3 linked regions of the Callithrix jacchus genome follow. The protein of the gene in region 1 interacts with the protein of each later gene in a biochemical or structural test. Links are inferred from orthologs where the notes say so. Each region holds a gene or a part of one and is shown in the gene's direction. Other genes may lie near its edges.

Region 1 (4,514 bases):
ACTATGTGCATACCACCGCTGAGATTCCTGGATACCACACCAGGAGTGCTCTTCATGGAAGATGCCACATCTGAGGTCTGTTAGCAACAGCAGCTTTTCCAGGACCCAAGATCATCAGGGGAATTAAAAGAACACCCCTCTCAATTTCTAGAAAGAGATTTGCTAGACTTTTAAAAATTAGATTATTTTTAAACCACTCATTCCTGACTTACGTGTTTACATTAGTTAACGTAGATAATGTCACAGGCCATGCTGTCTTCTTTCACCATGTGGTAGATGTGTGTGTGTGAGTGTGAGTGTGTGTGTGTGTGTGTGTGTTGATGATGATGAGGATGATGATTCAAAGGTGGCTTTATTTATTTATTCATATTTAAAAAAATTTTTCTTTTAGATAGAGTCTTGCTCTGTCGCCCAGGCTAGAGTACAGTAGAGCAATCTCTACTCACTGTAACCTCTGCCTCCCAGGTTCAAGCTATTCTCCTGTCTCAGCCTCCAGAGTAGCTGGGACTATAGGTGCACACCACCACATCTGGCTAATATTTTTATTTTTAGCAAATACAAATTGGTTGGGGTTTTAGCATTTAATATTTTAGCAAATACAAATTTGATGGGGTTACACCATATTGACCAGGCTGGTCTTGAACTTCTGACTTCAAGTGATCCACCCACCTTGGCCTCCCAAAGCTGGGATTGCAGGTGTAAGCCAGCGCACCCTACTGGCCTTATTTATTTAAACCAACGTTCTGGTTTTTTTCTGGCTTGAGGCAAGGCCCACAGGGCTGTTGGAAGGCCAGTACACCTACAGACCTGTGTGTTGTCAGATGACTAGATAAGGACTAGAACCCAGATAACATTCAGTAGATCCCAGCAAAAAGAATTTCTTTCCATTTAATTTCCTTAGTTCTATGGGGCTTCTGTTTTTTTTCTTTTTAAGACAGAGTCTCGCTCTGTTGCCAGGTGCCAGGCTGGAGTGCAGTGGCGCGATCTCAGCTCACTGCAACGTCTGCCTCCCGGGTTCAAGCAGTTCTCCAGCCTCAGCCTCCCAAGTAGCTGGGACTATAGGCGGTTGCCATCATACCCAGCTAATTTTTGTATTTTTAGTAGAGACGGGGTTTCACTATGTTGGCCAGGATGGTCTCCATCTCTTGACCTCATGATCCGCCCACCTCGGCCTCCCAAAGTGCTGGGATTACAGGTGTGAGTCACCGCGCTCGGCTATGGGGCTTTTTAAAATTACAACACCGGCCAGGCACGGTGGCTCACGCCTGTAATCCCAGCACTTTGGGAGGCCAAGGCATGTGGATCACGAGGTCAAGAGATGGAGACCATCCTGGTCAACATGGTGAAACCCCGTCTCTACTCAAAATACAAAAAATTAGCTGGATATGGTGGTGCGTGCCTGTAATCCTAGCTACTCAGGAGGCTGAGGCAGGAGAATTGCTTGAACCCAGGAGGCGGAGGTTGCGGTGAACCAAGATTGTGCCATTGTACTCCAGCCTGGGTAACAAGAGCGAAACTCCGTCTTAAAAAAAAAAAAAAAAAAAAAATTACAGCACCAAAATAAATCCAAGGAGAATATTTTCATGAACAATGACTGTGTTTTTATAGTAGTAAGAATCTTGTGGCTGATCACTGGGACTGAGGAGGCATGAAGTGAGTGGGAAAATGGATTGATCGCCGTGGTTCATACCTGTCTCTTTTTCTCTCTCTTTCTCTCTCAGCTTGCACCTACAAAAACCAGGAGTGCCGTTTGACCGTACATTATGAGAATGGATTTTCTATTACCACTGAACCACAGGAGGGTGCCTTTCCCAAGACAATCTTACAGTCTCCTTACGAAAAGCTCAAAATGTCTTCAGATGATGGAATCAGGATGCTGTACTTAGATTTTGGAGGCAAAGATGGAGAGATTGTAAGTGTACTTTTCTTTAGACAGTGTGATTTCATATATTAATATTTCATTTTGCAACATAATGCTGCCTTACTCTTATTCGGCATTTGACTGCTAACGAAATGCTTGCAAGCCCATGTTTTATTTGATCCTTGAAAAACAGTGATTAGGTTCAATTATTTCAAAGTTCTTTTCTTCAGTCTCATTTTCCAGTAGAAGACTACATAAATATTTGAGTCAAAGGAAATAATCCTTTACAAAGTTTGATTAAATTCTTATCAAATAGGGTCTCATCAGCTTAAAAAATGTACCCCGCATTTTTAAAAAGTATCAAGCATCTCGTATAACCTTGGCATTGTAAGAGATGTTAGGGAATGCAGTGAACTAAAATACATGGTCCCTACCGTCAGGGAAGTCTCTGAGGAGAGGACATACAGCAGAGAGACAGTAGGGGCCAGATGAGGGGCAGAGCAAGAGGGCAGCCAGAAAATGAAAAGAAACTGCTCAACTCCATTGGAGTCCACAGGGGGCCGGACAAAGGCACTGAAGCATGGAGCCGATGTCAAACACTATGCAACAAAATTAGCAAATATATCAGTTATAGTAACATACTGCTCATCTCAATGCAAGTTAGTCCATGTGTTTGAATTCATAATTTCCTGAGATGGTTTCTGCCTGCCATAATGAAAAAGTATATGACTTCACTTGCACAGAAGGGTGAATTGCACACTCTTATGCTGTCTAGCAAGTGTTGTCCTTGGCATTTCAGGAGAACATATCATCTCATTTAAGCTGTCAAATGTAGAACTTCAAAGAGGACTTTGATGTCGTAATGACTAGTCTCTGTTTAGGTCCTCCCTAGCCACTGGGTTAGTCAGTGAATTTGCTGGCTTTCAGGAAGGAAAGGGCAGAACAGGCTTAACAGGGCATAGGGACTTTTTACGTCAAAATTGCAGCCCCACTCTTCTGAATGATGCTATACTTCTGGCACCAAAACAGTGCCAAATATCTTGCCGTGAGTGCCACAGGCAGTCATGATGAAGGCCATTCCCTGTGGCTGACACTTGGTTTGCTGACATTCACTTTCTGAGAGTAATTTCTAGCCAAGCATATTTCTAACTTTTAAAATGGATCCACAGAATTTTTTGTTGAATGTTTGTTTGTATGTTTCAATCAGTAGGTTCAGTGTGAGGCACCTGCTTGGAAATAAAGTAGTGACTTAAAAGCCCGTTTTACTAAGAATATTTCTAATTCAGTTGCTGCTCTATCAATCACCCATTGTGTACTTTTTCCTAAAGGTGACTACTCTCTAGCAAAGTAGAAAAGAACAAGAATCAGTCTCCTGCTTTATCCATGGCTTAAAAATTCAAGGCTATTTTTGCCCACCAGGAAAATCACTTATGTCTAAATTTCAGCCTTTCTGCCTGTAATTACAGCCTGACTTGGAAGATTTAGGAAGGACTGATTTTTACTGCCAGTACATTGAGTTGATGAGCTCCAATTCAGACACAGCCCCCTTTCCCTCTACCCGCTATGTCCGTTTAAACAATCCCAGGAGATGGGCCGCAGACCTTTCCAGTATGGAGGGGGAAGAGACAGAAGATGAGCTGTAGGAAATGCAATAAACTGAGGGTCAAGACCTGGGCTCTCTTTCTGAGTCTGCGACAAACTCACCAACTCTCTTGGGAAAGTGCTTTCATTTCTTTCTATCTAGGTGTCCCCATCCATAAAATACAGGGATTGAAGTAGCTAATCTTTAATATTCCTTTCAAAAGTTGCATTCCATGTTAGTGACATAGAATGTTGTGGTTAAGCCCTGGCTCTGGCCTTAGACAGACTTGCATTTGAGTCCATGCTTTCTATTTACTATAAGATCTATATTTCAAAGTTTCATAACTTCCTGGATCTTAGTTACCCCACTTAAAAAAATGGAGATAATTACAATAGCTTCCTCATACGGATTCTGTGAGAGAGAATTAAATAAGATAGTGGGCAGAAGATATGTAGCACAGTGCCTGGCTCATAAGGAGTACAACCTTAACTTTGGTAGGTGTGATATGCTCAGATTGTTCTGATTCTCCAATAATGTCATCATCAGAACAAAACTGGGGACAGCAGAAAAGCATTGAGAACAGCAATTTCCCTATATTAGGTCAGATGATAAAATTCAACTTCTGAAGGACTCTCTTACCCAGACTATGTCTTGCATACGCCAGATTCTCAAGGAATACACCAAGAAGCATAAGACTTCAGATGGTGCCTTCATGGAGATGTGACATGCGCGCTTAAACAGTTCAAGAGTAGCGGAGGTTGGCAGCACAGCTGCTTAGCGTGGCTTCTGTGTTTTACAGTTTACGAGGAAGTTCCACATATCGTAGCTCCTCGAATCCTCTAATGACTCTGTGAGTTAGTAGGGCTGAGGAGAATTTTAGGAGACTTACCCAAGATTGTATGCCTAAAAAGCATCAGAAGCAGGATTCAAACCTAATCTTCAAATGTGAAATTTAGTACCGCTTCAGACTGTACTGAAGAAACATTTATTCCAACATGAATAAATATCACTATTGTGACACCAAAAATAAATGGCTTAGACAGTCAAGAAGGGCAATGTCGATATTTATGG
Region 2 (4,443 bases), on another chromosome or scaffold:
ATCAAAGCCAAACCTTCACCTGGTGTGTGCTTCCTGCCGGCTCCCTCTGGCCTCTCCTCAGCCCCTCCCTGGCCTGGGCCTCGGCCACCTGGCCTCCCTCCCTTTGTTCCTCAAACTCTCCCAGTGTTTTCCCTCCTGCCTCGGCTACTCTGTGTGTGCCCTCTGCCAGTTTCCCTCTGTCCACACGTCCACCTGCTCCTCTGTCCTTGGCTATGCAAAACTCCAGGCCTCTCTGGGACCCTGGAGGCCCTGTCACCCCAAAATGCTGAGGTGGCAGTTATCTTATGACCTGTCCACTGTCCGTCTCCCCAACCAGGGGCGTTGTGGGGACCAGGTCTGACTGGTCACGGTGCTGCCTGCCTGGGCCTCTCTCCCTATAGCGCTGTCCTCACCCTGGGCCTGGGTCTGCTTGGTTGGGGAGAAGATGGGAGAAAGGGTCAAGGGGCAGGAGCCCTTTGGATGGCAAGCCAGCCTAGGCTTGGGGTTGCCCCTCCCCCAGAAGATCCCGGCTGTCACCATCCAAAAATAACCTGTCTGTGGGTATGTGTGCCAGGGCTGGGCCACACTGCCAGTGGCCAGTGGGCAGAGCCAGGCCCTTTGGACAGTGGGGCATGACAACAACAGCTGCAGAGGGGGTTTTCTGCCCAGAGGGCTGTGCCACTCTTGGGGGGGTGCCCCAGCCCATGTCCTCTACGGCACCCTCAACCCTACCTGCCCTCCCCCCGCACCAGGTGATTGGGCTGCTGGACGTATTCACTCCTGATGAGACCCTGGATGACTTCACGGACTTGTGAGTGCTGACCTGGGCTGGCTGCCAGGCACAAGGGGTGTTGGGCAGCTCTGGGTACTGGCTTCAGGTTCTAGGTTGGCATGGGGCTCTCTTCCTGCAGGCTGAGTGGGGGATGCACATTGCCCAGCCCCTCCCCCACATGCTCCTGGGACCCACGGGCACTGGCACTGCCCAGCAGAGCTGGGGCTGCCGCCTCCCTCCAAGTCTGGCACCTGGGCCCTCTCCAGCACTGGAGGTGTGAACCTTGGACCTGAGCATTTGTTAACAGGAAGGTCCCGTGCCTGGGACCTTCCTGGCACCAAGTGTGTGGCCTGTAATGGGAGCTGCTGACCTTTTCCGACGGGTACAGGAGAAGCAGTAGGGAGGACCTGCCCTGCCCGTGCCCTGTAGCCGACCACCCTGAAACTCACACCTTGTCGGCCAAGAGTGAAGGTCCAGGCTGAGGAAGAGCTGGAGAAGGCAGCAGGCTCCTCTCGCCTGACTTGCAGAGGTCAAGGACCCACGCTGGCCTCAGTGGCCACTGAGAGGGGCTATACCATGCTTCTGTGTCTGTCCACCAGCCCAGCTGACCCCACTGACCCAGATGCCTTGTGAGCCCCTAACACCTCCAGGCACCTCCCTCGTCTCTGGCACAAAGTTCTGAAGTTGAAACCTGACTGCTTCCCTCCCCTGCCTGTGAAGACTTGAGCCCTGCTGCCTCCACCACGCAGCCTCAGCCCCTAGACTGGCACGCAGGGCACTCAGTGGAGGGTTCAAAAACCCCAAAGTGCATCCTCCACTCTGCCTGACAGTCCTCGGGGTGGGAGGGAGGTGTGAGCATTGCTGGCAGTGATGGGGTTGGGTCTGGATGGAGCCTGGCACTACAAGGTGCAGCTTCGAGGATGCCGAGGCCAGTGGGGATAGGTGCTGCAGGGGGATCTTCCCAGAGGCACTTGCTGGAGCGGGATGGGTCTGAGCCTGGGCCTGCTGGGTGGGCCTCCAGGATGCAGAGGCTGGCCCTGCCTACTGATGGCACCCGGCCCCTTCCACAGTTATCTGGTGATGCCATTCATGGGCACTGACCTGGGGAAGCTCATGAAGCACGAGAAGCTGGGAGAGGACCGGATCCAGTTCCTCGTGTACCAGATGCTGAAGGGGCTGAAGGTATGGACCCCGGGGGAGGCTGCAGGGAGGTGGCAGGGCCTGGTGGCCGGGTGGAGGAGGGTCTTGTGGCTCTGAGACCTTGGTACACTGATGCCTGCCCAACCCTCTGCCCCCACAGTATATCCACGCTGCCGGCATCATCCACAGAGTGAGTCCTGGAGAGGAAGCCACCCATCAGCCCTCTCCTGGCGCAATTTCCCCGCCTCCACGTCCCACCTGTGAGGATCTCACAGGGTCTGGGGGGGACTGAGCCATGCCCCATGCACAGCCCCTGTTGGGAGCCTGCCTGGTGTCCAGGTCCCTCCCTCCATCCTTGAAGGGCTGCAGAGAGCAAGGGGGCCAGGTCTGGTGGCCCTGTCTCTAGGTCCCACCCAGGCTCTTGGCTGTGCCCATGCCTGGGAGGGTGGGACACAGTGGCCACCTTTCCTCTGCCCCCAGGACCTGAAGCCTGGCAACCTGGCTGTGAATGAAGACTGTGAGCTGAAGGTTTGTGCAGCAGGCCCTGAGCTGGGGCACGGGCTCCCTCAGATCTACCATCTATCTACCTGTCCTCAGGCCTGGGCAGGGGACCTGATCCCAGACTCTAGGCAGTAGCTGAGGAGCGGGTGGGTGGTTGAGCCCCAGGAGGCCGTGGTACAACCCATTGCCATACCTGCAGTGGGTGAGGGTGGGAGGCGCCCCCAGGCCCCTGCCTGGTCCAGGGCAGGGCTGAGGCCTTGTCAGGCAGCAGGTGACAGCAGGGAGAGGGCACCTGCTCTGGAGGGCAGCTGGGCTCAGTGCATTGGCCACAGCGAGGAGCTCAGGGCAGTTTGGGGTCTGGGGCTGTGGCCTCAAGCCCTAGAAGGTTGTCAGGAGGTCCCCGATTGGGGGGTTCAAGTCCAGCCCTCTTGGGGTCTCCTACATTATGGGTGGCCTGACCACTCCTTGGGAGTGCCCTAGACCCCACTTCCCCAATTTTTCCCACAGATCCTGGACTTTGGCCTGGCCAGGCAGGCCGACAGCGAGATGACTGGGTATGTGGTGACTCGGTGGTACCGGGCACCTGAGGTCATCTTGAATTGGATGCGATACACACAGACGGGTGAGGAGCTGCCCAGAGATGTGGGCCTCTCAGGCTGCACCATCTGCTTCCCCTCTTCACGGAGAGCCCCTGGTGGCTGCTTCCAGGGAGGCTGTTGAGCTGGGGTGGGAGCCGGGCGAGTGGGCTGTGTCAGTGTCTCCTCCCTTCCTGTCTCATTCTGGCCCCCTGCCCACGGAGCTGACCAGGGCTTCTATCTCAGTGGACATCTGGTCTGTGGGCTGCATCATGGCAGAGATGATCTCAGGCAAGACACTGTTTAAAGGCAGCGACCGTATCCTCCAGCAGCGGGGCGGCACGGGGCAGGTGGGGCTGGCTCCTGCCCACGTGGAGGGTATTGGGGGAGGATGGCTGCTGCCCAGGTGGAGGGTATTGGGGGGGAAAATGGCTTCTGCCCAGGTGGAGGGTATTGGGGGAGGATGGCTCCTGCCCAGGTGGAGGGTATTGGGGGGGGAAATGGCTTCTGCCCAGGTGGAGGGTATTGCGGGAGGATGGCTCCTGCCCAGGTGGAGGGTATTGGGGGGGAAATGGCTTCTGCCCAGGTGGAGGGTATTGCGGGAGGATGGCTCCTGCCCAGGTGGAGGGTATTGGGGGGGAAATGGCTTCTGCCCAGGTGGAGGGTATTGGGGGGGAAAATGGCTCCTGCCCAGGTGGAGGGTATTGGGGGGGAAATGGCTTCTGCCCATGTGGAGGGTATTGGGGGAGGATGGCTGCTGCCCAGGTGGAGGGTATTGGGGGGGGAGTGGCTCCTGCCCAGGTGGAGGGTATTGGGGAAGGATGGCTCCTGCCCAGGTGGAGGGTATTGGGGGAAGTGGCTCCTGCCCAGGTGGAGGGTATTGGGGAGGGAATGGCTTCTGCCCAGGTGGAGGGTATGGGGGGGATGGCTCCTGCCCAGGTGGAGGGTATTGGGGGGGGGTGGAATGGCTCCTGCCCAGGTGGCAGGTATTGGGGGTTGGGAATGGCTTCTGCCCAAGTGGGGGTGGTGAAGGTCCCAATCTCTGGCACCCGAGCTGTGCTCCTGACCTCAGTACAGACCTGGACCAGCTGAAAGAGATCATGAAGGTGACAGGAACGCCTCCAGCTGAGTTTGTGCAGCGGCTGCAAAGCGATGAGGTCAGTGGTCAGTGGGGCGCTTGGTGGGATTGGGGGCAGACTCAGGCCTCGGTGCTGGCCCCTCACCCTTTCTTCCCACACAGGCCAAGAACTACATGAAGGGCCTCCCTGAGTTGGAGAAGAAGGATTTTGCCTCCATCCTGACCAACGCAAGCCCTCTGGGTAGGGCTGGCTAGCGTGGGGGCCACAGGGTGCTGTAGTGTGGGACCTCCTGAGGTCTGGCCTGACATACCTTCCCCCACAGCTGTGAACCTCCTGGAGAAGATGCTGGTGCTGGACGCGGAGCAGCGGGTGACGGCAGCTGAGGCGCTGGCTCACC
Region 3 (4,514 bases), on another chromosome or scaffold:
ATTTTCTTTTCTGATCTTGTGGAGTTTAACCATTGTGAGAATAAAATCTTTATTAGTTAACTGAATATTAAGGGTTTATATAAAATTGCCATGCTTAATATTTTAATATAATATTTAAAAAGTTCAACGTTTTTAGTGATACAAATGTTACTTTAGCTTCTGGTGTTCCTTAGCATCGTCATTGGAAAATGTCCAGTCATTGCAGTACCAAGTTCCTTTATAGAGCAGCAAGGTTTTCTGGCTGAGAGATTGCTGTGCATAGAGTAGCTTTTATTTTGTTGCCTGTGGTGAACTTGTTACTTTCTGGATGATTCTATGAGATCCTGGCATTAGACAGAGAACATAAGCTTACTGCATTATCTTTACATTTGTGTGCATGATAGCTGTGAGGGCATTTTCAATGTTATGAGAAAGATAGAAGAACTTCTCTTTTTCTCTTCAATGCATACGGGCCCTAACTCTTTTGAAAATACAATTCTTCAAAGTTTAGAAGTGATCCATGGAAGATTCTGAGTGGCACACGAAATATTGTAGTTCAGCATATATGGTCAGTTTATAGGAATTTTTATTTACTCTGTATTTAGTTTTTAGTACGAATTTCATAACTGGAAGATTTCATAGCAAGAGAGGACTGTCACTGAATGTGTATATAAATTTCATTTGTATGTTAGAGTTTTCTAGTTACACGCAGTGATGGCGACGTAAGGATTTGGCATAGGAAGAAGTTATAGCGAAGGAAGTGAGAATTAATGTTCAGAGAGGTAACAGTCAAGCCGGGAGAGTACTGTTTGATAAGCCAGAAGATAGGAGGAAGAGATGATGAACAGTGTCAAATGAAAGGAAAAACAGCAAACAAGGTTAAGTAGGATAAGGACGAAACAGTACATTGGGTTAAGTATTTATGAAAGCTGTTTCAACAGAGCAGTCACAACAAGAGCCAGATGGCAGCGAATATTGTTTAGCTTGTTTTCTACACCAGGGAGCTGGACAGATGAGTACTATTATTATCAATTCTGGCTGACATTATTGTTAGTGAATGCAACGTATGTTGAAGAGCAGTCTTGTAACCTGGCAATGTGAGATGAGTGGTGATATTTTTATCTAAATAGGTGACTTTTTCAGCGAGTCTTGAGCATCCAATCCATGAAACCCAAATTAATTTGAAATGCTTGTTAATAAAGAGACTCTTTCTCACTTAGGTTTTCTCCTCATTTTCCTATCACATTGATTATAAGAGGTTCTTTGTCAAAATGACTTCTTGGCTACCACCATTTTTAGACTCCAGTAACCTCTTAAAGAGTATTAGATGTGCTTGGACTCTAGTTTAAAAATAATATTATGGACTCTGTTCTTTTGCCTCACTTCTGGTTGAGAGGAACACTCAGGGAGTGATAAAAGTAGAAAAGGAACTGAGCCGTAGACTGTCTAGATTGCTCTGCACTCTGACAGGGCACTAGCAAAGTAACCTGTCTCTTTCCAGTTCTGCCTGATTTGTAGAACTTCCTAATGAGATGAAGTAATAGGGCAAGAAAATATGAATATGTAAACTACATATATTGATTTCAACCGATGTTAAAGGAGGAGCAATGGAGTGACTTTAGGTAGAAGCTGTCTTTAATATGCAGACCAAAATCTTTTGTATGTGTTCTAGTCCTCCGTGGCACATGCATTCCCTCATTTTTCCTCAGATCGTCCTCAAGGGTGGATCTGGTGATCACACGTGATCCTGCTTCTTATTACTAAATGACATATTATGCACACTTAATTATTTTTCATTATAATATCTAGTACTATAAGGTGGAATCCCTTTTGCCAGGGCATCAGGCAGCGAGTATATATGGAGAAAACTTAACAGCAAGCTTTAATCCTTTCTCATCAGATTCCTACTCCCTTCTTGGCGGCCCTCACTTTTGTGGATGAAAGAATGCAAATCATTCTGTAGTTCTGCCATTATTATTTTCTTGTTTTGTCTCCTTTTCCCTGAGGTCTAGCTGACCTGCATGACTTTCCCGGAGATTGCTAATATAAGGCTTTTATTTCCACCAGACAGCTTGATGCTTCTCTTCGCTCATGTGCCATAGATTTACTCTCTGGTTTATATTTTCCACTTAATACATGCATTTTGATAAGAAGTAAGATGATAATATGGATGGTATGTGGATATGATATGTAGGCAACTTGGATATTCTATGAAGAATGGGGAAGTCAAATTAAGAAAGAGAAATACATTATGTGTGATAACTACTGCAAGGCTATTGAAATGTGAACAGCTAGATTAGCAGCATTTTAAAAGTTGATGCTCTGGGAGTTAGTGGGATGGAAGGGATAAACTGAGGATTTTTAAGGCAGTGAAAATGCTCTGTGTGCTATGATAATAGTGTATACATTTGTTTAAGCCCACAGCATATACAGTGTTAAGAGTGAACCCTAATGTAAACCATGGACTTTGGATGATGATAAAGCATCATGTAGGTTCACAGATTGTAATAAATGTACCACTCTGGTGGGGGATGTGATAATGGGGCAGGCTGTGCGTGTGTGGGGGCAGAGAGATTTGGGAAATAACTGTGCCTTCTGCTCAATTTTGCTGTGAATCTGAAACTGGTCTAAAAATATGTAGTCTATTTAAAAACAAACAACAAGGTTGTTCATTAACATTTTAGAAGCATCCTGAAGATGAACTGAAATTTAATTTTTCTGATTTGAGATGAGTGCATTAACCTATGTGGAAATTTGTGGGTCCAAGAAACATAACCTTTGTCACTTCACTCAGTAGTTACCTCTTTTGATAAACATTTAAAAACCTATAAATTCAATTATTTATATTAAACTTCACTAACATTTGCTTCCCGTTTACCTCTAGGTTTGAAGTTTGAGGAAATTCAAGAAAGGTTTGGCGAAGAGTTCTTTAATACATGCTTCGATGAGAATGAGAGAGTCCTTCGAGCTGTGGGTGGCACTTTGCAGGACTTCTTCAACGGCTTCGATGCTTTGTTGGAACACATTAGAACTTCTTTCGGAAAACAGGCCACGCTGGAGTCACCATCCTTCCTATGCAAAGAGCTCCCTGACGGTACTCTCATGCTCCACTACTTCCACCCTCACCATATTGTGGGGTTTGCAATGCTGGGGATGATTAAGGCTGCAGGAAAGAAGATCTATCGGCTGGACGTGGAAGTGGAACAGGTTGCGAATGAGAAGCTGTGCTCTGATGGTTCAAACCCAGGCAATTGTAGCTGTCTTACTTTCCTTATCAAAGAATGTGAAAATACTAAGATCACAAAGAACCTTCCCCAGGGACCTTCCCAAGTTCCTGCGGACCTCAGAATTAGCATCAACACCTTCTGCAGAGCCTTCCCTTTCCACCTGATGTTTGACCCCAGCATGTCAGTCCTGCAGCTGGGGGGAGGTCTCAGGAAGCAGCTTCGGTGTGACACTCACAAAGTGCTCAAGTTTGAGGACTGCTTTGAGATCGTGTCTCCAAAGGTCAGTGCCACCTTCGAAAGGGTCCTGCTGCGACTGTCTACCCCGTTTGTGATTAGAACCAAGCCTGAGGCTTCTGGCTTTGAAAATAAAGACAAGGTAAGTGGCTGTGGACTTGAGATGGGTGATGGGAACTAGAAGAGTGGATAATTATTTCAGTAAATTACATGCTGGCTGTACTTGTAATTATTTGGGCAAGAGAGCATAAAGTGTCATTTAGAAGATTACTGGTCCCTGGATGTATGTAAAAAGATTTGGCCCAATTCCCAGCCATTTTGCATAGTGTCTGCCGCCTCCATTAATTTATTTCAGCATATAAAAAGAAGACGTTTATTAATACTAGCTATAGCAATTACAAAAATGATAGAACTCACTAAAAACCTAATAATATAAACTCATGAATATTTCCACTGACTAGAGTCAAACCATGAGAAATACAGCATTTCAACATTGTGGGGTGTGACTGCAGTATCTTTAAATATATATGCTAAAAGCTATCTTCACTTTGAATATGTTCTTTTCTAAATTTCGTAATCTAGGAACATCTGGTTTACATCCTATTTTTGTCTTAATATGCACAATAATGTGTTCCCTAAAAGTTGAGAATTGACTATCTCAAGACTTCTTTTCTATTTAAATTTTAGTATTAAAATACAAATTCATCACTTTAGAACATGATCCCGGCCAGGCGCGGTGGCTCACGCCTATAATCCCAGCACTTTGGGAGGCCAAGGTGGGTGGATCACGAGGTCAAGAGATTGAGACCATCCTGGTCAACATGGTGAAACCCCGTCTCTACTAAAAATACAAAATATTAGCTGGGCATGGTGGCGCATGCCTGTAGTCCCAGCTAGTCAGGAGGCTGAGGCAGGAGAATTGCCTGAACCCAGGAGGCGGAGGTTGCGGTGAGCCGAGATCGCGCCATTGCACTCCAGCCTGGGTAACAACAGCGAAACTCTGTCTCAAAAAAAAAAAAAAAAGAACATGATCCCTAGTTGAGAGAATACAGTGAAGACCGGAAAATTGTTTGT

Evidence for each region.
Region 2: the proteins of SNTB1 (region 1) and MAPK12 interact in a test that uses a peptide from one of them, tested with the Homo sapiens proteins (2 studies listed by IntAct, with this or other methods). The link is inferred for Callithrix jacchus from reciprocal best matches to the Homo sapiens genes SNTB1 and MAPK12.
Region 3: the proteins of SNTB1 (region 1) and GUCY1A2 interact in a test that uses a peptide from one of them, tested with the Homo sapiens proteins (2 studies listed by IntAct, with this or other methods). The link is inferred for Callithrix jacchus from reciprocal best matches to the Homo sapiens genes SNTB1 and GUCY1A2.

Annotation. Positions count from the first base shown.
Region 1 is NC_133517.1:76,825,052-76,829,565, forward strand, and holds part of SNTB1 (beta-1-syntrophin), read left to right. Parts: intron 1-1,721; coding exon 1,722-1,912; intron 1,913-4,514. UniProt on the Homo sapiens protein: Adapter protein that binds to and probably organizes the subcellular localization of a variety of membrane proteins. May link various receptors to the actin cytoskeleton and the dystrophin glycoprotein complex.
Region 2 is NC_133502.1:218,834,351-218,838,793, reverse strand, and holds part of MAPK12 (mitogen-activated protein kinase 12), read left to right. Parts: intron 1-731; coding exon 732-790; intron 791-1,821; coding exon 1,822-1,933; intron 1,934-2,051; coding exon 2,052-2,081; intron 2,082-2,371; coding exon 2,372-2,419; intron 2,420-2,899; coding exon 2,900-3,014; intron 3,015-3,213; coding exon 3,214-3,285; intron 3,286-4,044; coding exon 4,045-4,124; intron 4,125-4,207; coding exon 4,208-4,286; intron 4,287-4,368; coding exon 4,369-4,443. UniProt on the Homo sapiens protein: Serine/threonine kinase which acts as an essential component of the MAP kinase signal transduction pathway.
Region 3 is NC_133511.1:6,813,169-6,817,682, reverse strand, and holds part of GUCY1A2 (guanylate cyclase soluble subunit alpha-2), read left to right. Parts: intron 1-2,863; coding exon 2,864-3,582; intron 3,583-4,514. UniProt on the Homo sapiens protein: Has guanylyl cyclase on binding to the beta-1 subunit. Isoform 2 acts as a negative regulator of guanylyl cyclase activity as it forms non-functional heterodimers with the beta subunits.